Linked DNA regions of Canis lupus familiaris. The protein of the gene in region 1 interacts with the protein of each later gene in a pairwise test. Links are inferred from orthologs where the notes say so. Each region holds a gene or a part of one and is shown in the gene's direction. Other genes may lie near its edges. The genes, in order: TEX11, NECAB2, PPP1R18, TSC22D4, NEFL, MAPKBP1 and ZNF414.

Region 1 (3,500 bases):
GAACATCTGCCTTTGGCTCAGGTCATGATCCCAGGGTCCTGGGATTGAGTCTCGCATCGGGCTTCCAGTGGGGAGCCTGCTTCTCCCTCTATCTATGTCTCCACCCCTCTCTGTGTGTCTCTCATGAATAAATACATATCTTTTTTTAAAAAAGACCAAAATTTTGAATGCGGCCTACAAGGCTCTGCTTCCCTGTCTGTTCTTATCTCGATTCACTCTTTCCCTCACTCTCTGCCTTGTTAGCCACACTGTATTCAGCAGTGTTATGAGTTACCATTACCAACTGCTAGACAAACCTAATGGCTTCTTTCTTTACCCTGGCCTTCATTATTGACCACTGCTTCTTCACTGAAATTCTTTGTCCTTTATTTTCACACTGCTCTTCTGTGTTATCTTTTCACTCATACCACCCAACTGTGAACATTTCCATTATTCTTCACTCTTCTGTTCTCTATAATTCTGTCTTTCAAGTGAATTGATACATTTCAAGTATTACCTAAGTTCCAGTCCATATCTGCAACAGCCTACCTATCTTCCAAATGATATACATACCCTGGATGAAGCACAGTCACATGACTTCTTTTCTTTAAAACTTTCTAAAACACTTAATGAACTAATGTGCATCAAACTGCCCCAAGAGGATATATGTAGAATGCAGCATGTCCGAGACATATTTGACAACAGAACCCTGTTGTTACTGACCATCTGTTTTTCATGACACTAATGTTCTGAGGAAAAGCACTTAGGAAATACTTAGGTAGCCCTATCCTACATTTCTGGTCCTATTTCCCACTAATTTCCCTACATAAACTGCCTGCTTAGGCCAAACAAGTATTAGCCCCCACTCCAATCCCCCAAGACATGCACAACCTCAAGCACAGTCCAGGTCTTTATTTGTTCTGTTTTGCCCACATGGAATCCCTTCTCTCTTTCTCTCTCTCTCTCTCTCTCTCTCTCTCTATATATATATATATATATATATATATATATGGAGATTTATATATATATATATGGAGATTTATATATATATATAATTTGTATTGAGATATAATTCATATAGCATAAAACCCACAATTTTAAAGTCTATAGTTCAGTGGTTCTTAGTATGATTTCTCTCTGCCCTTGTCCTTGACAAGCACCAATCTGCTTCTCTTGCATTTGCCTTCTGTGGAGATTCCATATACTCTCTGTATATCTGAATCCTACTCATCTACCCTAAGGCCATGTTTGTTTGTTCAGTCATTTGTTCATCCATTTGGTTGAAATCACAACACTGTCAGACACTGTGCCAAGCTGTGACTATACAAAGATAGATGCCGTGGTACCTTCAAGGAACTCCCTGCCCTAGTGGAGGAGACAGACAATACGATATTATAAAGTGCTGTGGTAGTGCTATGAACAAAGGGCCATAGGAACAAAGTGGTGTGGATAATAAATGGTGGAGGGGGGCAGGGAATGTCTCATGGAGGAGGGAGACTTTGGTTGTTGATTCATTTGCTCATTCATTCATTCATGCATTGATGACATAAATTCAACCATCTGGCAGAGGAGATAAATATGTAAACACTGTCAAAGCAATGTGATAGAAGTTGTATTAGAGGAACATAAAGCTTGCTATGGGAGCAGAGAGAAAGGAGTACCTAACTCTGCTTGTGAATTTGAAGAAAATGTAGATGTTTACCAAGTAGACAGGGACAGGGATGGCATTTCAAGCAGAGACTAGACTTCCTCTGACTGTACCAGTCTAATGCTCATTTTTTAAAAACTGAATTAGAGTACCTAATGCCTCTGTCACTCTGACTAGCCCTTAATCACATACCTTGTATGGTCCTCTTTGTACATTGGATGCCTTGTCTCCCCAAAGGCAACTACGTGTCCTTTAGTATAAGAGCTTTGTCCCTCTTAACACCCTCCTTCTCAGAGTGTTTAATGCAGTGATTTCCATAGACCCAAATGAGTAAAAGAATTTCAGCTGAGATGTCATTGACACTCCCAAGAAACTGCAGCCCAAGTCTTCTATCACATTTCCCCCTTCTGGGGCCTGTTGTATAGATGAAGGGCTTTAACCTGGATTGAGCACATGAATGCTGCCTTTGTGGTCCATCTCCTATATAAGAACTTGGAAAGTAGCTCCTCAGACTAATCCCTTTCACTATTGCAAAATCTTATGATCAGCCATGTTAAATACTATGCTTAGGTGAAGGGACCATCTTAGAAATGGGCCCTTTTGTTCATAGCTAAGTACAAATTGTCAACACAAAAGACTAATATTTTGTTTAAATTACAATTGGTTGACTTTAAATAAAACCAATTACCCTCCAAAATCAGTTTTCACCTTAAAAGCAAAAACTGAGATTTCCCGGAGAAGGAATTCTGCCTTGAGACTGTAACATTAAAATCCTGCCGGAGTCTCCAGGCTGCTGGCTTGCCCTACAGATTTCAGACTCAAGATTACAACATCAACTCTTACCTGAATATACAGCCTGCTGGCCTCCCCTACAGATTTCCAACTTGCCAGTCCCCACAATTGTGTGAGCCAATTCCTTAAAATAATGATATATGTAACATCTAAAGACGAATATAATTTCTATTCTAAATACACACTGATTAAGGTCAAGGAAATGAACAGATTCAATAAAAACTACTTCTTGACAAGCTTCTCTGAGAAGTAGAGATAGATACTGGGGAGATAATTGACTGAGGACAGCACTAAGGGGAGCCCCAAACATGATACAGGGTTTTCTCCTATGTCAGGGAGACCGATACTCAGTCCAGGCGGGCCTCAGTGCTTTCTCAGTTTAAATATCACTTCATGAGGTCTTGCTCTGGAGCATTCTACAGCTGACAAACCTTCAAGATGCTCTTCTCCTACTCTCAAGGAGCTCTGGCTCCTTCCCTGGTGTTAGCAGAGTACCCATTGTTTGTTTAATAATAATGGGACACAGCAGTAATATAGTCAATGCTACAAGGACTGTGACAGTAATAACTGTAAACCCACTGTTCTTGGATTTCAGAAAGGCTACCCAGAAACAGAGATTCTCTGGCTGATGATCAAGTCCTGGAATACTGGAATATTTATGTATGGCAGGAACAAGTATGTATCTGCAGAAAAATGGTGTGGCCTAGCATTGCGTTTTCTTGACCGCCTTGGCTCCCTCAAGAGAAGCTATGAAACTCAGGTAAGGAAGGGAAAGGGCTACAGGTGGATGGTATGACACGGAGGGGAAGAGAGGTTCTATCTGGGCAACCAGTTATAACTCAGTCCTTCCTTCCTTGGCTGGAAAATGATTCTGATCATTGTTCCTCTCAGTAATTCCATAGAACTGCAAGACTTAGAGGACTGTATACAGTAATGCCCTAGAGTGAAAACTAGGAAGGATGGTAAACAGGGGGGAGCCTAGGAATATCAAATGGAATCTAAGAAGAATGCCAAGATAGAGCTCTGGAAAGATGCATCACTATCAATGCCAGTGCAAGTAGGGAAGGACTAGATACTGTGC
Region 2 (3,500 bases), on another chromosome or scaffold:
ATCTCTTTCTAATCCACACAGGGGTGCCACGTGGGCTTGTAGGGACTTTGATTGCAGAGTGGCTGGAATAGAAGGGGGTCTGTGCTGAGGGGCTGGGGGCTTCCTTCCCTCTGACTCCCACGGCCCCCACCCCACAGGTGTGGCTCCTTTAAGGAGCAGCGGGAGCTGGGCTGAGATGGTTGAGGAGGGGGTGGTGGAGGTCCTTGCAGGAGCTCGGCAGGTGTGCCCAGGTGGAAGGAAGTTGCTGAGGCTGAGGGTGGAAGTGTGGGGTCTGCCTCTCCCAGAGTCACTGCCCTTCCGCTGTGAGCCCCTCCCTCAGTGACCACCCGCCCCCAGCCCAGGAGACTGCCCCACACACACAAATGCTGGTGCCCAGGGGTCCTGCGTGTGGACGGAGAAGAGGTGCAACAGAGGATGGGACCGTGCTGGGCCCTGGGCAGCCTGGATGCCTCCCTCCCTTGCAGTTTGGCGTCTTCACGGTTGGGTCTCTGGCGGGGTGGGAACTCCCTGCCAAGTGTCGGCAGCTGTTGCTGCCGCATGAAGGTCTGGGCTCGAAAGTTTGTCCTGAGGAAGGGGCAGAGGGGAAGGGGGTGTCCCTCCCCCAAGTCAGGACCTGGGTGCTGGAGTTGGAGAGCATGCAAGTATGGGGGTGGGTGGGCACTTGGAAGCAAGGGAGAATGGCCATCACACCCCGTGGCCTCCGTGCAGTGCTGCCTTAAACCGCACCCAGCTGCAGGTGGTCGGCAGGTGAGGAGAGAGGCGCACCTGCCGGAACAGGTGCTCTCCCGTAGTTGAGCGCATCAGGGACGAGCGCCCCAGCAAACTCGCTGCTGCTTGTGGTGGTTGCCGGTTTGGGGATTATCTGTAAGTGGGTGTTGAGGTGTGGGTCTGGGAATTAGCCAGATAAGTCGGCGATATTCTGTGAACTAGAGTTTCCTCATTTAGTTGGGCATTCGCTGGGCGGACGGAGATGATCTGGCCGGAGTTTATCTGTTGATTTGGAAATTGTCTGGATTTGGGGGACGTCTTATCTCTTAGACACCAGCTGCTCTACCTTCTTCCTCCCTACTTTGCAGACGATGGGAAGTTGTCCTTGGAGGAATTCCAGCTCTTTTTCGCAGATGGCGTCCTCAATGAGAAGGAACTGGAGGATCTCTTTCACACCATCGACTCTGACAACACCAAGTGAGCGAAGCCCTGGTCGCTGGGGCGTCCAGGGGGTCTGGGGAGGACCGTCTTTCCCCTCAGCTAGGGCATCAGTCTCTCCTTCCCACTTCCCTGGAGGAACAGGAGATCCAGAACATCCCCACACTCACTGATCCGAAAGTCGGATCTGTTTGGCCCCCACTGGCCGGGGTGACCTGGGAAGTGGGCAGTTGGCATTGCTTTGGCAGTTTGTCCTTCCTGAGCACACGTGGCTAAGAAGGGACAGACCCTCGATCCTGCAGCACGAACACAGGGAAAGTTGGCCTCCACCTTCTGCCGACTCAGCCTAGCTCTGACCCCGGCACCTGGTGCTCCTCCGCAGTCCGACCTGAACTCCGTGACCTTGACCTCACGGCTCCTGTCTTAAACCAGACTGACCAGATACAATCCTAGCTCTGACTTTAACCTCACTCCTCTGTATCTAGCTAAACCCCACTGTAACCCCTGGAACTTGCATCTCAGAGCTAAAAACTCTGGCCTAAGCCATCCCTAAGTCACGCAAAGTGCTCATTCTATTGTTCTACTCACAGGTATGCGACCCCACGACCTCACCCCCTGCCCCCCACCCCCACAGGATTCCCAAAGCAGGATGAGGCCCAGCCCCCTTCTCTGCCCCTCAGTGGGTCACCTTCCTCGGGCCCACACAGGCCCACTGGGAACCAGAGTTCCGAGGGTGCTGCTTGGAGCAGATTTGATGAGTTGGGGTCCCCTGAGACAGGCTGGAGGTGGTCTGGACAAGATGCTGCCTCCAGACCTGCTTGCAAGGGACACAGCACAATCAGTGATGGCCTGGACCAGAGGTTGGGACCGAGAGTGTCCTGGGAGGCACAGGCTGGGGACCAGGGTGGGCAGGTGTCCCTGTCCGGGGAAGGCCACTTGAAACTGCTTCCTGCCCTTCCTGCCGTAGACCCAGTGAAGGGCTTTGCTTCTGCAAACAGATGGAGGTTTCTGAGTGGTTCCTGCAGCGCCCCCAGGGAGCTCTGAAAGGGCTAAGCACAAGCCTCTTGGTTTACTCATTTTCATGGTGCCTTTTGTGTTGAGCCAGCTGGGCAGGTGGGAAAGGAGGCTTTGGTTGGAGAGTTTAACCAATGAGTGTGTGACCTCACAGAAGGTCAGAATTCTAAAGACTTTAGTATTATCCTCTCCAGCATCCCCATTCATTCTTTGGGATGCTGAACAGGCTTTTTGCCCAGAACAGTTCATATGGATCAGAAAGTACTAGTAAAATCCTAGTTTAAGCACAATTAAACAAGCTTCCTTTCTGCAGGACTTATCAGAATATCTAATATGTGATGTGAATTGGAGGAAGCTCCAAGACAGAGCTTCCAAAGCCTCTGAATGTAGAAGCATCTTACTGAACTCGGGGTTCCAGGAGCTCTCTAACCCAGGGCAGCCCCTCCTCTCTCAGGGAACTGTGGCCCAGAAAGGGCCAGGTTATCAGAACCTGCACAGACACTCAGGTCCCCGGCATCTGATGCTAGCACCCTGCACTACTATGTCTCTGTTCTGAGGCTGCTACACGCAGCTTCTCCAGCATGGGTGGCATTCTGGTGCCCAGTCTCCTCCGAGGAAGGACATTATCCTCTTGCGTTGTAGGAATGGGGATGAGGAGGGCTGTCCCAGGACCCAAAGGTAGGGAGGCCCCGGGGCAGCCTACACTGGTCTTGGGCCCCCCACCTTCTGTCCCGTTCCCTCTCGTTTCCCAGCCCCGGCCTAGCCATGTTTCGGGTCCCCGAACAGCTCGTGACACAGGGGGTGGGGAGGGGCACAGAGAGGAAGGTGGTGGGGCCAGAGAATACACAGGTGTGGGTCCCTGCTCTGTCCTTGGGAGGGGCGTCATCCTTGACCTGCTGCAGCCTCACCTGCAGAGCAGGGTTCACAGGGCCAGCCCAGCACGTGGGGTGGACAAGAGAGAGAGAAAGAGAGAGAGAGAGATTGTGCACACATGCACACACTTGAGCAGCAGGCACTTCACCAGCCCGGCCGTGCATGCTGCGGAGGGGGAGGGCGGGTGGGACGGGACAGGCCTGACCCAAGTCTCCCTTCTTCTCTCTGCAGCCACGTGGACACCAAGGAGCTGTGTGGTAGGTGCCCACCTCTATAGGGACCAGGACCCGGGTGGTGGGATGGGACTTGGGGGAGTGACGGGGGCACAGGTGGGATCCTCCTCATCCTCTGCCCCTGACCTTTGCTTTGCCTTCCGTCAGATTACTTTGTGGAGCACATGGGGGATTATGAGGACGTCTTGGCCTCCCTGGAGACCTTGAATCACTCCGTCCTGAAGGCCATGGGTT
Region 3 (4,151 bases), on another chromosome or scaffold:
CTTGCTCTCCTCCTTACCCTGTACCTGGGCCTGGCTCATGGGCTTGACCAGCAAGACCTCCGCTACCTCCGGGCCCAGTTACAAAGAAAACTGCACTTGCTCTCCCGGCCCCAGGAAGGTGAGGCCGAGTGAGGAGCTAACCTGGTCCCAAGCCCTTTAACATCTGGGCTCTGGCTGCTTCAGACCAGAGGCCCAAATCTATGGACTGAAGGGGCCATCCCTTCCCCTGTTTGAGCCTCCACTCCTTGGGCCCAGCTCCATACCCTAATCCTGAATTTCAACCACTGGACCCCAAGATCTACTTCTCACCAAACCACGGAGGAAGGGTGGGGAACTTCAGTATTTCCTCACAGTTTAGGCCTTGACCCACCTCCACCCCACCTTAAGAACAGTCCTTCTAAGGAAGAAGGGTGGGCCTGCCCACTTCCCTCCCACTGTTGCTCCCTTCTACACCTCAGGGATCCCCTTCTCCCCCTCAGGCTTCCCTTCCTAGGAGTAGGATCAGGGTCTGCAGGTTTGATGGTAATGCCAGCTCTGCTGACTCACCTAGCCCCTCCTTAGGCCTTGCCCCTCCTTAGGCGCTGGCCCTGGGCTCTGTCCTCTAACCTGAGAGGATCCTCCCGCCCTTCATGTTGGTGACTAAGAGATCTCTGCCCTCCCGAGGAACGTCTGCGGCGGAAAAATAAAATTCAGCCCGTTTTTTCTACATATGGCATGCAGTCCATCAGTGTGTCTCTAACTAGAGGGCTGACTTTGGAAGGAAGGCCAGCAGAGCCCAGGCACGCCGAAGTCGAGTCCGGACGGCCACCGCGCCCTCTGGCGACCGCTGGGCGGCGGCCCCTCGGGCACACCCCCGAGGCCCAGCCCCCTTCCTCCAAGTCCCCAGTTCCCCCGCCGTGGACCGGGACCCATGGGACGCGGGCTGAAGCTAAAGACTGGGCAGCGGCTGTCGTGGGGGCCAGTTACCAAAGCCGTGGGCTTCCGAGTACGTCTCCGGGTGGCCGCCCGGGACCCCGCAGTGACGCAGGCTGGCCGGGAGAGGCCACCGCCTGGGGAGGGGCGGGCCCGGCCGGGGCAGCGGCTGCTTCCTCTGCGAGTCCCTCGAGGGGCCTGAGTCGCGGCGGGCGCGGCGGGCGGGGCGGGCGGGGCGGGGGCCAGGGCCTGGACACCTGCGTTCTCCGGGGCTCGCGGCAGGAGGGCCGGGCCGGGCCGGGGCTCGGGCGCGAGAAGGGGAGCCGGGGAGGCGGGGCCCACGCGCGGGCTCGGGAGCCGGCCCCGCCCCGCCCCGCCCCGCCCCGCGCCGCCCCGCCCGCGCCCCCTTCCCTCCCCATTGTCCTCAGACAAAGCGGTCGCCGCCCCCCGCCCGGCCCCGGGTCGCGGTCACCCTCCCGCCTCCCCGCCCGCGTCTCCGGCTCTCCCTCGGTCCCACTCCTCCTCCCTCGGACGCCTGCTCCTCCGCACCCCTCCCGTGGGAGCCCCGCGCGTGTGAGTCGGCTGCGGGGCTGCGGCCTCGGGGCGGGGGTGTCTCGCGCCGCCCGCCCCGGCGCGGACCTCGGGCTCCTCCCGTCGAGCCGCGGTTGCCTGTCGGTGCGCCCCGAGCCGGGGGGACGGCGGGCTCCGCGGGGCCGCTGAGCCGGGAGCCGGGCCTGGCGGCAGAGCCGGGGCGCGGAGCCGGGGCGCGGCCCGGGCCGGGGGCTGCCGCAGGAGGGGCGGGGGCGGGCGCCGGGGTTCCGGGAGCCCCGGGGTGGGCGCACCCGCGCCCCGCGCCCCGCTGCCTCCCCGGACGCCGGCTCCTCCCGGCTCCCCGACGCCGCTCCAGTCCCGGCTCCCTCCCGGCGGGACTCCCGGACCCCTCCCCGCCCCCCCCGCCCCCCGCCTCTGGGGCGGCGGTGGGGAAACCCGGCCTGGTCCTCCTCCTCGCGCCGCCCCCGCCCCCGCTCCCCGGCCGCTCCGGGCTCTCGCCTCCCTCGTTACGACTCCTTTTCCGCCCTTCTCTCCGCTCACATCCTCGGGCCTCCCCGATACCATGAACCCCGCGCTGCCAATTCTGACTGCTGTCTCCTCGCCCTGAATCTCTATTCTTCCTCTCAGGGCCGCGACGCCACCTCCGCCGGGCCCACTGCTTTTTCACTTTCTGTTTCCCCGTTACTTTGCCCTCCATCTTCTCACTCTTCCCCTCCCGGGCCTGGGCCCATCTCGGTGTCCCTCCTCTGCCCCTCTGCTTCCCCTCCCCCTACCCCCAGGACCTCTGGAGCCTCTCTTTCCTGTTCTCTAGCCCAGCACTTCCCACCCCTACCTCCGCGCGACCATGGCTACCATCCCGGACTGGAAGCTACAGCTGCTGGCCCGACGGCGGCAGGAGGAGGCGGCCCTTCGTGGCCGGGAGAAGGCTGAGCGGGATCGTCTGTCCCAGATGCCAGCCTGGAAGCGGGGAATCCTGGAGCGCCGCCGGGCCAAGCTTGGTCTGTCTCCTGGAGAACCTAGCCCTGCCCCTGGGACTACAGAGGCTGGACCTCCAGACCCAGATGAGTCGGCTGTCCTCCTAGAAGCCATTGGGCCGGTGCACCAGAACCGATTCATTCGGCAGGAGCGCCAGCAGCAGCAGCAGCAGCAGCGCAATGAAGAGTTACTTGCAGAGAGAAGGCCTGGGCCTTTGGAGGCCCGGGAGAGGAGACCCAGTCCTGGGGAAATTCGAGATCAGAGCCCCAAGGGAAGAGACTCAAAAGAAGAGCGGCTCAGTCCCAGGGAGGCCAGAGAGAGGAAGTTGGGGATAGGGGGAGCCCGAGAGTTGAGCCCCAGAACTTCAGAGGCTTGGGACTGGAGGCAGAGCCCAGGAGAGTCTGGAGACAGGAGCTCTAGACTGTCAGAGGCACGGAAATGGAGGCTGAGCCCTGGAGAAACTCCAGAGTGGAGTCTGAGACTGGCAGAGCCTGCAGAACAAAGCCCCAGGAGAAAAGAGGTGGTGGAAAGTAGACTGAGCCCCGCAGAATCTGACAACCAGAAGTTGGAGCTGTCAGAGTCCCATAAATGGAGGCCCGACTCTGGAGAGTCTCAGGAACAGAGTTTGGTACAACGGGAGGCATCAGGGTGGAGGCCCAGCTCAGAAGAAGAAAGAAAAGACTGTTTGGAGGAATGTAGGAGAAAAGAAGAGAGACCAATTCCAACACTGGCCTCAGAAGAGATTACAAAGGTGTCAGAGACCCTGACAAGGGAGGCTCCAGAGAGCAGCTCTGGAGAGGTGGAGGCAGCAGAGCAAAGGCCCGGCCCTGTGGAGGATAGTGAGAGGGGCCTGAGGCTGACAGAAGGCTGGAAATGGACCCTGAACTCTGGAAAGGTTCGAGAACGGACACCCAGGGACACAGAGACTCAACCTCAGAAACCCCCAGAGGCTGCTGAGAAGTATCTGGGGCCTCTTGGTACAGAGGCTGGAGAAGGGGAGGCTGAGAAGGAGAAGGCAGGGGCTCTGAGCAGGCCTCTGAGAACCCTGCAGAACTGTAGCTCTGTGCCCTCCCCCTTCCCACCAGAGGACGCTGGGACTAAAGGCTCTACGAGGCAGGAAGAGGAAGCGGTGGATCTCCGGCCCCCACCAACAGCCCCTCTGTTTCCCCTACCCCCAGCCCCACCTGCTCCCCAGTCCCCTGGGGATCCCCTCATGAACCGTCTGTTCTATGGGGTGAAGGCAGGGCCAGGGGTGGGGACCCCTCGCCGCAGTGGACACACCTTCACAGTCAACCCCCGGCGGTCTGTGCCCCCAGCAGCCCCCAGCACTCCCGCCACCCCAGCCGCGGCTGATGTTGCAGTTCCTGGAGTTGGGAAGAAGCGGTACCCGACTGCGGAGGAGATCTTGGTTCTGGGGGGCTACCTCCGCCTCAGCCGCAGCTGCCTTGTCAAGGGGTCCCCCGAAAGGCACCACAAACAGGTAGGGAGCAGCCCTCAGACTTCTCAGAAGCCTCAGCTCTCTCTGGCCTCCTTTCTTTTTTATAGCCCTGTATTCTTGTCTTCCTCTATTCTTTCTTGTTAATTCCTGCCACTACCCTTCCTCCTCTATGCACACCCTTCCTTCTTGTTGTAGCCCTCATTTTCCATTCATTTCCAAGCCCAAGGGTTCTGTCCCAAATCAAGTGCTGTCCCTGGGTGTGTCTCCCAGGGTG
Region 4 (3,933 bases), on another chromosome or scaffold:
AAGGCAGATGTGGCTTTTCAACCCTGCTCTTGCTCAGATTGTTGGTTGAGGGTGCCATAAAAGAGAAAGTGGCCATCAGAGGGTTATTTTTTCATTCCAGGCATTGGGTAATTCGGTAAGGCCTTCGTGTGTGTGTGTGTGTGTGTGTGTGTGTGTGGCTTCTCCAATAGCAAAGAAGGGATGGGATGGGAGAGGTGGGCGGGTAGGGCTTGTCCTCAGGTGCATCTGTGTGTACATTATGTATACATGTGTGTGTGACCAGGGTTGGAGAGAAAGTGCAAGTCAGCACATTTCTGAGTACATCTCTTTGTTTCTTTATATAGGGGCCAGACAAGGGCACACCTGAGTGTGTAGAATGTTCCAGCTGTACCACTGACAGCCTCTCGGAACCTTCCGGGTCTCAATATCCACATCTAAGAAGAGGGATAATATGGTGCCTGGGATTTTTAAAAATACTCCAGCACAGCACAACAAGAGGTATTGGGAGTATAGAAGAACCCAGGTTGGTTGTGAGCTGATCATTGTTGAAACTGCACGATGGGGACTTGGGAGTTTATCATTTTTCTCTACTTGGGGGCCCATTTGCAAATTGTCATCATAATCCACGTTTTAAAATAAAGACAGGAAAGAATAACGGAACCTTCCTCATAGAGTTACTGTGAACACCAGTGAAGATATGGCAAGAGCTGAGCAGCAGCTTATGGGGTGGCGGGCACCCAGCAGAGCCCCTGGTTGGCAAGTTCTTGCTCTCTCCGTAGGCCAATGGCAGCAAGTGCCTACAAGTAAGGGAATCCCTGGCCCCCCGGCAAACTCCTCCCCTTTTCTCTCTGCCCTCCACGGCCCCTCCCTCCGAGGAAACGCAGGATTGGGGCCCAGCAGGTGTGGGGTTAAGCCTGTTGCGGGGGGGGCGGGGGGGGGGGGCAGGAACAGCAGCAGCAGTGGCAGCAGAGGTGGTGGCAGGCCTGGCCCCGGGCCAGCTGGCCGGGAGCCCCAGGAGGCAGAGAGGGCGGAGGAAGGGGAGGAAGAGGGGAAGGAGGAGGAGGAGAGGAGCAGTCAGCAGGCCCGAGGAGGCAGGACTTCCTGGTGTGGGGGTTGTCAACAGCCCAGAAAGAGAAAGGCAGAGAGACCGGAGAGAAGAGCCGAGGAGCGGAGAGAGACCCAGCGGTTCCACGCGGAGGAGATTTGAGAGACCTGCTCGCCCCAGCCACCTAGGCGGCTCCACCTGGAGGATCGGGGTGGGGGCAGAGCCGCCTCTTCCCTCACCAGTCCCGGGACCCTTGGGGCTTCGGAGGCCGCGCCTGGGCTCCACCAAGGAGGCGGGGGTCCCTTCTTTTCTGGCGAGCAAACTTTTTACGAAGATGCCTTGCGGGGCGAAGTGCGGCCCCCGAAGAGAAGCGGACAGCCCCTGATCGCCGCCGCGCCCCCCGCGGGAAGGACAGCCCGACATCGTAGGCTCCGGGACCCCCGGCCCAGCTCGGTGGCCGAGGCCGAGAGGTAGGGCTCTGGGCTGGCTGGGCGGGGCGCTGGGGCAGCGGGGCAGGGCCTGCCCGGGATCGGGGAGCTGGGGTGCGGGCAGCCTGGACACTCGGCAGAGGCCTCCCGGCGGCGGGGCCGACCGAGGAGCTGCTTCACCCCTGCTCGTCCAAGGCCCTGGAGCCCCCTCCTGCTGTCGGGCGACTCGGTCCTGTGAGTCTGAATCCCAGGCAAGAAATGCCCAACTTTGGTCTGGGCCGCCCCTTCCTACTCTGTGGGACCGCTGGGATCTCCTGGTCTCAATCGTCTCTGCCAGTCTCTTTGTCTCTGGGTCTCTGGTGGTTTCCCCTTCCTCCCCCATCCTGCTCCCCAGAGAGGAAGCCCCAGAGGTGGCCTGCCCACTGCTTTCTCACACACACACACACACACACACACTCTCTCTCTCTCTCTCTCTCTTTCCAGTTTGCAAACTCAGCTCTGGAGTTGGGCAGCGCCAGGGGCAGGAAAAACCTGCCCCTGCCCCTGCCCCCACCTCCTGCCACCTCCCCTGCCCTGTGCTCCCTTTACCAGCCAAGTACCCCCAGTTCCTGCAAAGCCCTCCTGCCATGTCGGACCCAGATGTCCCCAGGGGCCCTGATGCCCCCGCCATGTGGCCCCCCTGTTCCAGGGGTGCCTGAGCCCCTGGAGGAGCCCCAGCTGCACCCCCTGCCCACCTTGGCCGAGTCCTGAGCCCCAGGGACCATGAGTGGGGGCAAGAAGAAGAGTAGTTTTCAAATCACCAGCGTCACCACGGACTATGAGGGCCCAGGGAGCCCAGGGTCTTCAGAGCCCCCTGCCCTGCCGGGCCCCACCGCGCCCCCACCCCGTCTGCCTAACGGGGAGCCCAGCCCCGAGCCAGGGGGCAAAAGCACCCCCCGGAACGGCTCCCCACCACCTGGGGCCCCCGCCTCCCGTTTCCGGGTGGTAAAGCTGCCCCATGGCCTGGGAGAGCCTTATCGTCGAGGCCGTTGGACGTGTGTGGATGTTTACGAGAGAGACCTGGAGACCCCTGGCTTCAGCCGGCTCCTGGAAGGAGTTCGAGGGGCCTCGGGGGGCACTGGGGGCCGATCTTTGGATTCCAGGTTGGAGCTGGCCAGCTTGGGCCTGGGTGCCCCAACCCCGCAGCCAGGCCTGTCTCAGGGCCCCACCTCCTGGCTCCGGCCGCCCCCTACCTCCCCTGGACCTCAGGCCCGCTCCTTAACCCGGGGGCTGGGCCAGCTGGCAGTACCTGGTAAAGCCAAGGTGGAGACACCCCCTCTGTCAGCCTCCCCACCCCAGCAGCGTCCCCCAGAGCCCAGGACAGGGGATAGCGCCGGCCCCTCCCGGGCTGCCACGCCCCTGCCCTCCCTGAGGGTGGAAGTGGAGGCTGGGGGCTCAGCAACAGGGACCCCTCCACTATCCCGATCAAAGGATGGAGCCCTGCGGCTGAGGATGGAGTTGGTTGCTCCAGAGGAGATGGGGCAGGTAAGAGCTGGGTTCTGGGGTCAGGGAGACACCTGAGGGGTGGTGCTTGTTCATCTGGGCCTGGGCCTAACCTCCAGCTTGGGCCTCCCTGCCTCCACCTCCTTACCACCCTCTCCCCATTCCAACAACACGTGTCTGTCCCTCTTTTCTCTTCTTGCCCTCTTCCTGGGAAGTAGTCCATCCTCCTCTTCATGCAGCCTTGTTTTCTTTCTCAGGCTCCCTCTTCCCCTATATCCTGCACCTTCTTTCTTTCTCTAAGCCTTTGTTACCTTTGGCCTCCATCTCTGTTTCCTTATAGCTTAGTGCTGTCTCGCCATCACAGAGATGTCGGCTTCACACTTTGGCCCTCACCTTCTGTCTTGGTTTCACCCCTTCTGGCTTCAGGCATGGGGGATGGAGGTCCCAGATGGGGGTAGGTGCTTGGGCCTCTGGGAGAGGAGCTGTCCAGGTTGGTGGGGAGGGGTAAAAAGAAAGTCTCCCTGGCCGCACCACGCACCATTCCAAAGGTGACGGTCTGTCTTCTTATTAGCCACTCATCCCAGCCCCATCTGCAGCTTTGTCCCAAGTCAAATTTCTCCAAGGACGTGATGAACTAGGTGGGATGGAGGGCTTGGCGGTGTGTCCTTTCTGCCCTCAGGCCCCTGTCTCCGCTCCCCTGCATCTAGGCCTCTCCATGATTGATAACTGGGGGTGGCCACCAGGGAGTGGGAGAGAGGCAGGAAGCAGTGGAGAAAGAGTTAAATCCTCTGGTCTTTCTGCTTCCTGTCTCCAAAAGAGGAACAAGTCTGGGCTGGGGGGCAGGATGCCTGGGTCCCTGGGGTGAGGGTGGGCCGCCAGGGATGTGGGGGATGGATGTGTCTGTCCTGAAGGAGAAAATAACACCTTGGACTTCAGGAGCGAGGGCAGGGAGTGTGAGGATGAGAACTTTTCCCCCTTCCTGGCCTTGGGCACAAACCA
Region 5 (4,222 bases), on another chromosome or scaffold:
CACTTCACCGTCTCAGCCTCACAGGGAAAGAAAGAGGTGCCGGCTTTTCTTTTTTGCAAACTGTTAGCCTGTTTCCCCCCTTAGTTTGCTATTAAAAAAAAATTAGTAAGTTGCACATCAAACGCTCCCCTTACACAAACTCAATAGAAACGAAGTGCTCGTGTAGAAAAACCTTAGTGATCCTATTAAATCTCTGCAATCGCTCCGTGAAACCAGGACTCCGTAGCATCGTGCGTGTGAAATGCTCTGCAGACCGCAGGGTTGTATCAATGTGCATTACTGTTTTCAGGTATCGGGGTGTTTCCTAAAGAAACACGGATGTCTGACTGTGTCTGCAATCTAATTACCAGAGTGAGCCGGGGGAAGAATCACGCAGCTCTCTGCTGGATGCCCCAGGACGAGACGTGTCGGGGTCCGAGTGCTCCTCCCGGGAGACCGCCCTCGGCGCGCTCGGGGCTGGCAGCCGCAGCCTCCTTCTGACAACCGGCCACCTGCCTGGCTTGTGGAAATCATCAGGTTGATGCTACACAGGTGTAAAAAAGAGGGAAAGGGGCTCTGGGTGTGTCGGAGTTGGTGGTGCCCCGCGGGAATTCAGTTTGATGGAGAAGATACAGGCTGCGTGAATCAGTCCCAAGGGCCGGGCTTACGGGGCTCGCCGCTGCCTTTGCAAGTCGGCTCCCCCCCCCCCAACCCCCGCTTAGTTTCAAACTCACTTCTCGGCTCTCCCCCACCTACGCGCTTCCACACGCTGAAAACACTCTTTCTCCGGAAAGAAACGATTAAATCTAGAACACTGGAAGGCTCATATTAACGGCTCTACGGGGGGTCAGAAACGCTAAAATCCACACCCGCAGTGCCGCAGGTTCACGTGTGTGCGCGCGCGCGTGCAGAAGCAGCGCGTTAAGCAGAAAGAAAAATCACCGGGAGCAAGGGACATGAATTAAAGAAAGTGCCAGAAACAGCTACAAAGAAACAGGAAACTTTCCTCCCCTTGGAGGCCTAATACACGCAAGCTTAAACTTTTCAATTTCCGAAGCCCCTAGAGGCACTGCCTTGTCACCCGTAAGCCCCAACGGGGATGATGGCAGAGGCCCGTGGTGGGGAAGGGGCGACTTAGGGGTGAGGGTGTCTCCGAGGAAGCGGGGAGACAGAGAACTAAGAGGTCAGTGGGGGAGTGAGAACCTATTATTGGGGACGCGCATCCATGTGATGCGGGGTCCAGGGAGGAACTAGGATGGGGACGGGGGTTGGGGAGGGAAATGAGTGAGGGGTAAGGGGTCTTGGGGGGAAATAAATCGCAGGCCTCGGAGACAAGTAAGTGGAAAGGACGAGCGCCGCAGCCCGGAGCCGCCTGTGGCTCGCCCCCGCCTTCCCTTTTGCGCAGAATCCTCCCCTTGGCTGCAGCAGCGCGCTGCCCCCACTGGCCCGGCGCGCCGTGATCGATCGCAGGCTGCGTCAGAATGCTCCCCGCGTATAAATAGGGGTGGCAGGACCGCGCCGAGCCGCACACAGCCATCCACCTTCCCCTCTCCCTCTCTCCCCTTTCTTCTCTCTCCGTAGGCCCCCCCACCTCCGCTGCGAGCCGGAGGGCCTCCGACCGCCACCATGAGTTCCTTCAGCTACGAGCCGTACTACTCGACCTCCTACAAGCGGCGCTACGTGGAGACGCCCCGGGTGCACATCTCCAGCGTGCGCAGCGGCTACAGCACCGCGCGCTCCGCTTACTCCAGCTACTCCGCGCCGGTCTCCTCCTCGCTGTCCGTGCGCCGCAGCTACTCCTCCAGCTCCGGCTCCTTGATGCCCAGTCTCGAGAACCTCGACCTGAGCCAGGTAGCCGCCATCAGCAACGACCTCAAGTCGATCCGCACCCAGGAGAAGGCGCAGCTGCAGGACCTCAACGACCGCTTCGCCAGCTTCATCGAGCGCGTGCACGAGCTGGAGCAGCAGAACAAGGTGCTGGAAGCCGAGCTGCTGGTGCTGCGCCAGAAGCACTCCGAGCCCTCCCGCTTCCGGGCGCTGTACGAGCAGGAGATCCGCGACCTGCGCCTGGCGGCGGAAGACGCCACCAACGAGAAGCAGGCGCTCCAGGGCGAGCGCGAAGGGCTGGAGGAGACTTTGCGCAACCTGCAGGCGCGCTATGAAGAGGAGGTGCTGAGCCGCGAGGACGCCGAGGGCCGGCTGATGGAGGCGCGCAAGGGAGCCGACGAGGCCGCTCTCGCCCGCGCCGAGCTCGAGAAGCGCATCGACAGCCTGATGGACGAGATCGCCTTTCTGAAGAAAGTGCACGAAGAGGAGATCGCCGAGCTGCAGGCGCAGATCCAGTACGCGCAGATCTCCGTGGAGATGGACGTGTCCTCCAAGCCCGACCTCTCCGCCGCGCTCAAGGACATCCGCGCTCAGTACGAGAAGCTGGCTGCCAAGAACATGCAGAACGCCGAGGAGTGGTTCAAGAGCCGCTTCACCGTGCTGACCGAGAGCGCCGCCAAGAACACCGACGCGGTGCGCGCCGCCAAGGACGAGGTGTCCGAGAGCCGCCGCCTGCTCAAGGCCAAGACCCTGGAGATCGAAGCATGCCGGGGCATGAACGAGGCGCTGGAGAAGCAGCTGCAGGAGCTGGAGGACAAGCAGAACGCCGACATCAGTGCTATGCAGGTCTGGCACGGTGCACAACGCAGTGGGGGCGGGGAGGGAGCTGCGGGAGCAAGTGGTGGCGGGAGGGGGAGGGCGCGCCCGGAACGTGGAGACCACCGAGGAGGCCTCCGCAGGTAGCTAGGAGCCAGTAGAACTTGGCTCCCAGGGGACTGTGTGGGAGGGGTGGGGCACTTGGAGGGCGGGGGTGGGGGGTGGGGGCCCCACTGCAGTCCGAGGAGACGTGCCTGGTGCAGCTGTATCTAGCTCCGCATTAAAGCTGCCCAGCCCTGCCAGGGTAGGGTGGGGTGGGCGGAGGGGATGGGAGCTGGGCGTTGCCTCTGGCCTGTCTCTCTAACGTCCTTCACTAACCACAGGTCGCTTTGCCCTCCACATTGGACCATCAGCTTCATAATTACAGCACACAGCTCTCGTTAGTTCTGCAGGCTACCTGTGACCAAGGCATGCTTGAGACTAGTTTTATCAACCACTCCTTGCCCTTAGGTAGACAGGAGTGCAGTCAAAATTGGAATAGGTAATGATGTTCACAAAAAGACATTTCTTTTCTAAGGATCTCCATTTTCTGGGAAGGAGAAAAAAATAATATTGATACATAGAAAATATTTTAGATACAATGACTGTCATTTTTCTTTTATAGCTAGCTACTTCCTACTCCTGTAAAGCAATGGAGTAATTTCTTCCACTTCACTTGCATAGTTAACTAATGAATGTGAAATAAAGTTTTTTTTTTTTAATCGACCAAAAATTTTTTGCAGGCATTTTATGATGATCATTAGACAGTAGCAATTAGAAGAAAACAAAGAAGAATATTTCTTCTATCAGGTTTTTAAATTATTTTTATTTTTATTTTTTATTTTTTTGGTTTTCATTTCATGCTTCCTGAGCTGGATTTTTTTTTTTTTTAATACAAGGAAGGAAAGGTTAAAAAAGAGAAAAGACAGTTGTTTTAGGGGAGATCTTATCTAAGGAGTGCACTTTGGTTTTATGTAGGTTAGGCCTTTGCAGCTGTAATATACTAAAATGATAGCAATTGGGACTTATGCCTGGATTTTTTTTTTTCTTTTTGGTCCTCCAACAGGACACAATCAACAAATTAGAAAATGAATTGAGAACCACAAAGAGTGAAATGGCACGGTACCTTAAAGAATACCAAGACTTGCTCAATGTGAAGATGGCTTTAGACATTGAGATTGCAGCTTACAGGTAAAAACAGTGGGCTGGTAGCAGCCATTGTGGTTTAGGAAGAAAATCAGGTTTCATTTATATTGAGTCAGAAGCCTTTAAGAATAGTCCTTTGAAATAACTGTTTGCATTTTGGCTTTTTCCAAGAAGGTATTTAGACAAATAGGGAAGAATTTGACCCTGTGATATTAATGAATTCTATTCCTAGTTTCTTGTTACATTTTAAATGGAATAGACAGGACTATTTTGTTTGTTTTTCTGTTTCTTTTTCTTTTTTTCCTGATGGTAGGCACAATATCCCCAGTCATGAAGTTTTGATAATTCCCAGCCTTGCTCCTGCTCCTGCTCTCCTTTGCCTTTAAGGGTAGTATTTAGGGGGAGGATGATGAGT
Region 6 (3,500 bases), on another chromosome or scaffold:
TACATCTTGCCACCTACTACTAACATCCTCCATCCCCACCCCAACTGCCCCCAGCCTCCTGCCTCCATGAGGAGGGTGTGCAGGTCACAGGGGGGTGTTGGACAGCAGCTAGGAGGCCTGGGGCCAGGAAGGCGAGTGGAATGTAGACTCTTTGTCTAGGGAACCCTCAGGCAGACAGCTTGCCTGAGGATAGAGAATGGCTAGCTTAGGTTTGGAGAGAAGCATCCTGATTTAATTAGTTGTCTGGGTCATGTAGAAAGCTCAGCAGTGGGGTAATAGAGGAAGGGCTGGCCCCCTTTTGGTGAAAGCAGTGGGAAGAGCTAGGACCCCCTCTTCCATAGCCAGCGATGGGCAAGTCCGCATGATCAGCTGTGGAGCAGACAAGAGCATTTACTTCCGCACTGCACAGAAGGTGAGGGTATGGGGCTTCCCTAAATGGGGAGGGGTTGGGAGGTGGGGGTTTCTACCTTTTCCCCAGCTGAGGTTGTAAGAGTTGAAGGGGGGTGAAAGCAGGGCTCTCTGGGCCTGTTGGGCCCACACGCTCTACCCTTGCAGTCTGGAGATGGAGTACAGTTTACACGGACACACCATGTGGTACGGAAGACGACTCTCTATGATATGGATGTGGAGCCCAGCTGGAAGTACACAGCCATTGGCTGCCAGGACCGAAATATTCGGTGGGCATCCTCTTCTCCAACCATCTGATTGCATTCCTTCATGCCTGAGGGGGTCAGCTCTAGGTAGCTCTCTCCCCACTTCTATCTTTTTTGTCCAGGTCTTTGTGCCCCCTTGAACCTACAGGGCACTTTGCCGTACCTGAGAGGTGGTGTAGCCCCTTTGGTGTTGGGGAGTGGCTCCCAGAGAAAACAGGGCTGGGACTGAATGCAGGGGTCTCTGCCACCCAGCAGTGCTTGATCATGGCCTCCTCATGTGAGCAAGAGTATGCTTCTTTACAGGATCTTTAACATCAGCAGTGGGAAGCAAAAGAAGCTGTTTAAAGGGTCACAGGGTGAGGATGGCACTCTGATTAAGGTAAGGGCCCAGGAGGAATTGCCCTGGGCCAGAGAAAGGCATGACAGATATACTAGGTGGAAAGGGACTGGTGCTGCCCTGTCCTCTGCCAGCTGTGTGTCCCATCCCTAGGTGCAGACAGACCCCTCGGGGATCTACATTGCCACCAGCTGTTCTGACAAGAACCTTTCCATTTTCGACTTCTCTTCAGGCGAGTGTGTGGCCACCATGTTTGGCCACTCAGGTGAGTGTCGTTGCCCCAGTACTCTACTGCTGGAACTTTACTCTTTCTTCTTTTACTTTCTTGGGAGCTAGCAGAGCTGTCTGCCCCTCCCTTCCAACCAACCATCCACTTCCACTGTTGGGACAGGGCTTGGCTGGGACTTTAGGGAAGCTCAGAGGCCATATTCTTTGTTCCTCACAGAGATTGTCACTGGCATGAAGTTTAGTAATGACTGCAAACATCTCATCTCTGTGTCAGGAGACAGGTGAGCAGAAGCCCACTTCCCTGACATACAGATTTTTCCTGAGATATACACACACTCTTCCCCCTCCCCTCTCTTTGCATTAGTGATGTCTCTTGGGAATAGGGCTGAGCAGGGATATTTCTTGGTTGGGCCTGATGTGGCACTGGAGGGTGGCTCTGGTCTTCTTGCTGACCCATAGAGAAGGGGAACTAGTGGGGTTCCACTCCAGAGGCCTAACCTCTCTCTCCCTCACCTGCCTCTGTGGCTCTACCCAGCTGTATATTTGTGTGGCGCCTGAGCTCTGAGATGACCATCAGTATGAGGCAGCGTCTGGCTGAACTGCGCCAGCGTCAGCGTGGAGGCAAGCAGCAGGGACCATCTTCTCCCCAAAGAGCTGCAGGACCCAACAGGTGAGAACAGAGTATGAATATGGGCTAGTGGTGGGTGGCCATCTAGACTGCTTGCTGCCTCAGTGCTTCCCCTTCTCGCTCTGGACTTGCCATTCACCTGTACCTCCTGACTCCTGGATCGCCCAACACCTGTTTCTTACCTGAAGACCCATGAAGGTTGTTCCTCTTCCTGCATTGAGTTTCTTCTCTCCATGGCCTTCCTTGTCTTGGACTCAGGCATGAGGCGCCATCGATGCTATCTCCTGGACCAGCTTTGTCATCAGACAGTGACAAGGAGGGAGAAGATGAGGGCACCGAAGAAGAAGAACTTCCAGCTCTGCCCATCCTTGCCAAGGGTACCAAAAAAGAGCCAGGTATGTGGATGTCTGGAGTAGGGCCAGATAGGCACCAGTTGGCACAGTAGCTACATATGCCCTTTCTGGGGCCAGGGGTGGAGAGCAGGGCTAACCGAGGAAACCAGAGCATCACTGTGGCCACCCAGGGGTATGAGCTGGTGCAGTGCCAGGGCTCTGGGTGTGTGGGCAGGAGACACTCTCTCTGACTGCTTTGCCTGTCTCTGTCTAGCCTCAGTGCCCAGCCCAGCCCTGCCCCGAAGCTTGTCCCACTGGGAGATGAGTCGGGTGAGTCACCATTGTTAAAAATGCCCTTCCAAGGTCACAGGGCTGGAGGAGGGTAAAAGCAGGTCTCTCTGGGCTTGCCGGCATGTTGTACCCCTCGTGTCCAAGGAAGGGCCTTGTGGGAGAGTTTGAGCAGCTTGGCTGGTCCCAGATTAGGGATGATGAAGCCTCGGGAGTCTCCTTCTTGTGGGCCAGGTGGGGTGGCCTGCAAAGGCTAGTCACCACTAGAAGAAGTGCTCCATCTTTTCAGCTGCCTGGGGGGCCTGGGAGTAAATGTGAATGAAGAACAGGTTGAGATAAGGAGTAGACAAGGGGGGCCTGAGCCAAACAGAGCTATAGATCAAGGGGAGCGCCTGGGTGGCTCATTCAGTTAAGCGTCTGACTCTTGGTTTCAGCTTGTGATGATCTCAGTGTCATGGGATCAAGCCCCAAGGGCCCCCATTTTGGGCCCCTTGTTGGGCCCTGCTTAGGGCTCCACACTGGATCAGAGGAGAGTTTGCTTGTCCCTCTCCCTCTTCCTTTGCCCTGCCCCCTTGTGCCCATGCATGCACGTGTGCACACTCTCTCAAGTAAGTAAATATATACACACATACATAAAATATTTTTAAAAACCTGAAGTTCAAGAACATCAAAGTTTCAAAGAGTGGAAATCTTGAGAAACTGTAGTTCTAAAGACTCTAGGTTGGGGGTGAGGTCAGAACTTCCAGAGCAGTTATTTAGAAGGAAAGGGCCATGAGAGGACCAGTAACTGGGCTGCTACTTCAGAGCAGCCAGAAGGAGGATAAGGGCTGTCTGTGCAAGTCCCACAGCAGTCCAGCCCTCACTTGTGCCTTGTCAAGACTTCACATGGCAACACCTTCCTTGTCAGTAGCAGTTCCGTGGATTGGTGGTGTTGTGGGGCCTCTAGTGCCTTCTGACCAAGCCAGGGACTCAAGGTTGGACTACTGGTTTGTCCTTGATGCTGTGACTAGACCTGGGACTGTCCTCAGAATAAG
Region 7 (3,956 bases), on another chromosome or scaffold:
ATTTGCCCAGAACTCAACAGATACCTCTTGAATGTTAAATAATGTATAGAGACCTGAGATCAAAGATTCCCTTTACCATCCCCCAACTGCCCATCCTCCAAACAACAGCCAGGAATCAGATGGTGGACCTCCCCCAGATAAAAATACATCAATGGTGGGGATCCCTGGGTGGTGCAGTGGTTTGGCGCCTGCCTTTGGCCCAGGGCTCCAACCTGGAGACCCGGGATCGAGTCCCACGTCGGGCTCCCAGTGCATGGAGCCTGCTTCTCCCTCTGCCTGTGTCTCTGCCTCTCTCTCTCTCTCTCTCTCTGACTATCGTAAATAAATAAAAATTAAAAAAAAATACATCAATGGTGAGAATAGAAACCACACTCCTTTCCATGGTTCACAAGGCCCTGTGTGACCTTCTCTGCATCAAGTTCTCTGATCCAACAGTGAGCTGATCCCCTCACTGGTCCCTAAGACAAGCTTGTCCCTCTTTACCTCAGGACATTTGCACAGCTATCCACTTCCCAGAGTCCCCTGACCTTTGATCTGCTCACTCCTTCCTGACCATCCGGTTACAGCTCAAAAGTCAACTCACAGAGACGCTTCTCTCCCTTCTCTGTTTTTTTTTTTTTTTCCTTTGTGGCACTTAATGTAACTAAGGCGGTTTTCTGCATTTGTTGATTCGTTGTCTATTTTCCCATTTTAAAATGTGAGCAGGCCCCTGAGGTCAAGGATGTCTGTCCTGTTCATCTCTGGGTCCCCAACGCCTAGTACACAGGTGACTCGTTCCACGCAGGTCCACCCAGGGGTCTTCATCCTTAGGCTACCCCTGTCCGGGGGACAGACAGCTTGCTTCCTGCCCCTGGCTATCACAAGGAGCCCATTCCAACTTCAGAACTAAGTGCATTGACAATTTTGACGGTCACTGCCGATTTCCCTCCGAAGATGCTGCCCAACCAACACGACCTCTTCAAAAAGAAGAGCGGCTGAGAGCTGGTGACCGGACGGGAGGGGACAAAGGTAACCATTTTGCAGACAGGATTCTAGGCCAGGATCTCCGAGCTCAGGGTTTTTCCAAGGCGCCCTCCGACAAGCCCGGCTCGCAGACCCAGCGCCGCCTGCGCAGCTCCCCACGAGCGCCCAGATCTCAGGCCCCGCCCCCCCGAGGGGCGCCGTGCGCAGGCCCCGCCCCCGCTCTCGCGAGAGCCGGGAGGCGGAAAATGGCGTCGACGTGAACGCGAGCCCGCGGCCGCCCAGGGAGTCGCCGCAGCCTCAGCGGGAGCCGCCGGAGCCGCAGGAAGAAGAGGAGGAGCCAGGGTCGAGGATGGTGAGCGCGGCGCCGGGGGTGCGGGCGCGGCGAACCAGCGGGAACTGGCGGGGCGGCCCTGTGGCACGCGCAGCCTCGGGCCGACCCCGCCCCCACATCCGGGCCCTCGCCCGTCGCTGGCTGTCACTTGGGGGACGCCCCACCCCCTGCTTCCTGGCGCGGCTGCGACTGGGCCACGCCCACCGGGCTGGGCTCCGCCCCTGGTCCTTCTGCATCCGGGGCCCTGGCACCTCCCGGTTTGACTGCGCAGCTCCGGGCGGGCGGGTGGGTAGACTTCGGCCCTCGGGTAGTGCGCTTGATCCCTTCTGGCCCCTCCAGCATGTTCTAGCGGTGCCCTGCTCAGGGCCCCATCTTCGTAGCCTTCGCCTCGCCCTCACCCTGTAGGCCACGCCCCTGCTGTGTCGGGGTGGGGGGCGGGCATCCCCCTGTCCCAAGTTAGGGACTAGGGACTGCTTCTTCCATAGGAGTAATTCCAGACAGTTACCCCTTATGCAACTGGGACCCCTCCCAGTGCCCTACCAGAGGATGGGAACACAGGAGGCTCAATCCACCCTTACCTCCGTCCTCCCCGATGGTGACTCCTTAGAATGGGGTCTGACCTGGTGATGTCTTGAGGGCATTCGCTGCTTCAGGAACGTTCAAAGGTCTGGGGGGGGGGGGGGTTCCCCTGGCTGGTCCAGGCCGACCTGGGCCCAGAGGGGTTCTCTCTGCCTTTTCCTTTCATTAGGAGGAGGAACCCTCGGGGCCCAGCCCGGACATGCCGGCCGCTGCAGAGCCCAGCTTCACTGAGACTGACAAGGAGGTGCTGTCTCCAGCTGTGGCCGCCGCGGCCACCTCGTCTTCCATGGGGGAGGAGACAGGCCCTGAACGGGCAGCCACACCCCCAGTGTGGGACCGCGGAGGGCCTGGGGGGACCCAGCAGGGTGGCCCCTCACCCCCAGACAGTGGTCAGCCTGGTCCTGGATCCAGCCTTGGCCCGGCCAGCACAGTCTCTGGGACCAGCGAGGACCTGAGGCCTCCCAGACGTCGCCAACAACCAGGTGATCTGTGATGGAGCCTTCTGGAGGGTCACAGGCCTTGGAACAATAGAGAGGAGTACAGAGTATCTCCAAACTTGGGCCCCATCTAGAGGGAGTCACCATTTCCTGAGCGAGCACCAAGTGTATGCCAGGCTGTGGCTAAAGTGATGAGCTAGGCCATCCCAGCCTCTGCCCTCCAGGAGCCCAGTCTGGTGGGGGAAGCAGATGGTAAAGGTGCTGGTAAGAAACCAGTAGGGTAGTTCCAGCCTCATCTGTGCCTCTCCGGGGCATAACTCTGGACAGCGTGGACGAGAGAACAGTGGGTGACACCTCCCCTTCTGTGCTTCCTGCAGGGAAGCAGATACCCTGCTCCAGCCCTGGCTGCTGCCTCAGTTTCCCCAGTGTTCGAGACCTGGCACAGCATCTGCGTACCCACTGCCCACCCACACAGTCCCTGGAAGGTAGGGCCAGAGTAGGCGGTGGGGAGGCAGTTTGGGGTAGGAGGCAGGCAGTGCCTCCAGGCCAGCCTCGGCCACCCGTCTCCACTCCTCTGTCCTTTATCCCTGTCCTGCCAGGCAAGCTCTTCCGCTGTTCTGCCCTGAGCTGCACCGAGACCTTCCCCAGCATGCAGGAACTCGTGGCACACGGCAAGCTGCACTACAAACCCAATCGCTACTTCAAGTGAGACCCCCCCCTATGCCGACTTCCACCGGTCCAGGCAGCTCCTCCCACCCCTGGTTTGATTGCCACTACCTGGGGTCCAGGCCTTTCTCTCCCTTCCTAGTCAACAGGGAGGTGGGTTGAGTCTGGTAGTGGGCGTGCCCTCGGGCAAGACCTGCCCTTACCGGCCCTGAAAGAGACCCTGGTTACGGGACCCTAGAGACCCGGGGGAGGAGCGAGGAGCTTGGGAAGGGCGGGGCATACGTGGTGTGTTTGCATTCAGTCTCTCCTGACCCCGCTAGAAGAAAAGTGGCCACCTAAGTCAAAATTGAGACTTCCTTCCTCGTTTTCCCAGGGCAAGGACCCAGAGGGGTCCGGAAAGGTCGCAGCCACACTGGGGGGCGCTTAGAGCAAGCTTCTCCCCCCGCAAATGGGGGATCTGTGATTTGGGCCTTAGGCTCCCTTACCTACGCCCGTCGCGCGGCAGCTCCCCAGGTAGCGTCGGATAGGCCCTACCCTCGTCCCGCAGGAGGCCCAGCCCAGCCCTGTGCCTGCCCCCAGGTGTGAGAACTGCCTCCTGCGCTTCCGCACGCACCGCTCGCTCTTCAAGCATCTGCATGTTTGCGCCGAGCATGCGCAGAGCCCAGCCCCGCCGCCACCCCCCGCCCTCGACAAGGAGCCGCCGGCGCCCGAGCGTCCCCCGGAGTCCGACGCCGCGTCGGCGCCGGGCCTGCCGTTCCCGCTGCTCGAGCCGTTCACGACCCCCGCCCCTGCCCCCACCGGGCCCTTCCTGCCCTACTTGAACCCCGCGCCCTTTGGCCTGAGTCCCCCACGCCTGCGCCCCTTCCTGGCCGCGGCGCCCGGGCCGCCCGCCTCCAGCGCCGCAGTCTGGAAGAAGAGCCAAGGTGAGTTGGGAACTGGGCCGCCTGAAGGGCGAGCCGGGGCGCCCCCGGGACTCCTGA

What was found.
Region 2: the proteins of TEX11 (region 1) and NECAB2 interact in binary tests that used the Homo sapiens proteins (3 or more experiments, as listed by UniProt). The two-hybrid records come from large-scale screens. The link is inferred for Canis lupus familiaris from reciprocal best matches to the Homo sapiens genes TEX11 and NECAB2.
Region 3: the proteins of TEX11 (region 1) and PPP1R18 interact in binary tests that used the Homo sapiens proteins (3 or more experiments, as listed by UniProt). The two-hybrid records come from large-scale screens. The link is inferred for Canis lupus familiaris from reciprocal best matches to the Homo sapiens genes TEX11 and PPP1R18.
Region 4: the proteins of TEX11 (region 1) and TSC22D4 interact in a two-hybrid assay, tested with the Homo sapiens proteins (2 studies listed by BioGRID and IntAct). The two-hybrid records come from large-scale screens. The link is inferred for Canis lupus familiaris from reciprocal best matches to the Homo sapiens genes TEX11 and TSC22D4.
Region 5: the proteins of TEX11 (region 1) and NEFL interact in a two-hybrid assay, tested with the Homo sapiens proteins (2 studies listed by BioGRID and IntAct). The two-hybrid records come from large-scale screens. The link is inferred for Canis lupus familiaris from reciprocal best matches to the Homo sapiens genes TEX11 and NEFL.
Region 6: the proteins of TEX11 (region 1) and MAPKBP1 interact in binary tests that used the Homo sapiens proteins (3 or more experiments, as listed by UniProt). The two-hybrid records come from large-scale screens. The link is inferred for Canis lupus familiaris from reciprocal best matches to the Homo sapiens genes TEX11 and MAPKBP1.
Region 7: the proteins of TEX11 (region 1) and ZNF414 interact in binary tests that used the Homo sapiens proteins (3 or more experiments, as listed by UniProt). The two-hybrid records come from large-scale screens. The link is inferred for Canis lupus familiaris from reciprocal best matches to the Homo sapiens genes TEX11 and ZNF414.

Annotation. Positions count from the first base shown.
Region 1 is NC_049260.1:55,153,188-55,156,687, reverse strand, and holds part of TEX11 (testis-expressed protein 11), read left to right. Parts: intron 1-3,014; coding exon 3,015-3,179; intron 3,180-3,500. UniProt on the Homo sapiens protein: Regulator of crossing-over during meiosis. Involved in initiation and/or maintenance of chromosome synapsis and formation of crossovers.
Region 2 is NC_049226.1:68,831,394-68,834,893, reverse strand, and holds part of NECAB2 (N-terminal EF-hand calcium-binding protein 2), read left to right. Parts: intron 1-1,076; coding exon 1,077-1,185; intron 1,186-3,264; coding exon 3,265-3,290; intron 3,291-3,413; coding exon 3,414-3,500. UniProt on the Homo sapiens protein: May act as a signaling scaffold protein that senses intracellular calcium.
Region 3 is NC_049233.1:625,434-629,584, reverse strand, and holds the start of PPP1R18 (phostensin), read left to right. Parts: upstream 1-1,351; 5' UTR 1,352-1,485; intron 1,486-2,275; 5' UTR 2,276-2,308; coding exon 2,309-3,919; intron 3,920-4,151. Other genes in the region: NRM (nurim), read left to right, coding at 1-118, 579-610.
Region 4 is NC_049227.1:9,141,688-9,145,620, forward strand, and holds the start of TSC22D4 (TSC22 domain family protein 4), read left to right. Parts: upstream 1-1,133; 5' UTR 1,134-1,494; intron 1,495-1,935; 5' UTR 1,936-2,214; coding exon 2,215-2,976; intron 2,977-3,933.
Region 5 is NC_049246.1:32,631,897-32,636,118, forward strand, and holds the start of NEFL (neurofilament light polypeptide), read left to right. Parts: upstream 1-1,422; 5' UTR 1,423-1,605; coding exon 1,606-2,652; intron 2,653-3,727; coding exon 3,728-3,852; intron 3,853-4,222. UniProt on the Homo sapiens protein: Neurofilaments usually contain three intermediate filament proteins: NEFL, NEFM, and NEFH which are involved in the maintenance of neuronal caliber.
Region 6 is NC_049251.1:9,143,807-9,147,306, forward strand, and holds part of MAPKBP1 (mitogen-activated protein kinase-binding protein 1), read left to right. Parts: intron 1-341; coding exon 342-412; intron 413-555; coding exon 556-677; intron 678-956; coding exon 957-1,032; intron 1,033-1,143; coding exon 1,144-1,255; intron 1,256-1,435; coding exon 1,436-1,499; intron 1,500-1,753; coding exon 1,754-1,888; intron 1,889-2,104; coding exon 2,105-2,241; intron 2,242-2,452; coding exon 2,453-2,508; intron 2,509-3,500. UniProt on the Homo sapiens protein: Negative regulator of NOD2 function. It down-regulates NOD2-induced processes such as activation of NF-kappa-B signaling, IL8 secretion and antibacterial response. Involved in JNK signaling pathway.
Region 7 is NC_049241.1:53,455,301-53,459,256, reverse strand, and holds the start of ZNF414 (zinc finger protein 414), read left to right. Parts: upstream 1-1,156; 5' UTR 1,157-1,312; coding exon 1,313-1,315; intron 1,316-2,042; coding exon 2,043-2,355; intron 2,356-2,687; coding exon 2,688-2,795; intron 2,796-2,909; coding exon 2,910-3,015; intron 3,016-3,555; coding exon 3,556-3,899; intron 3,900-3,956. UniProt on the Homo sapiens protein: May be involved in transcriptional regulation.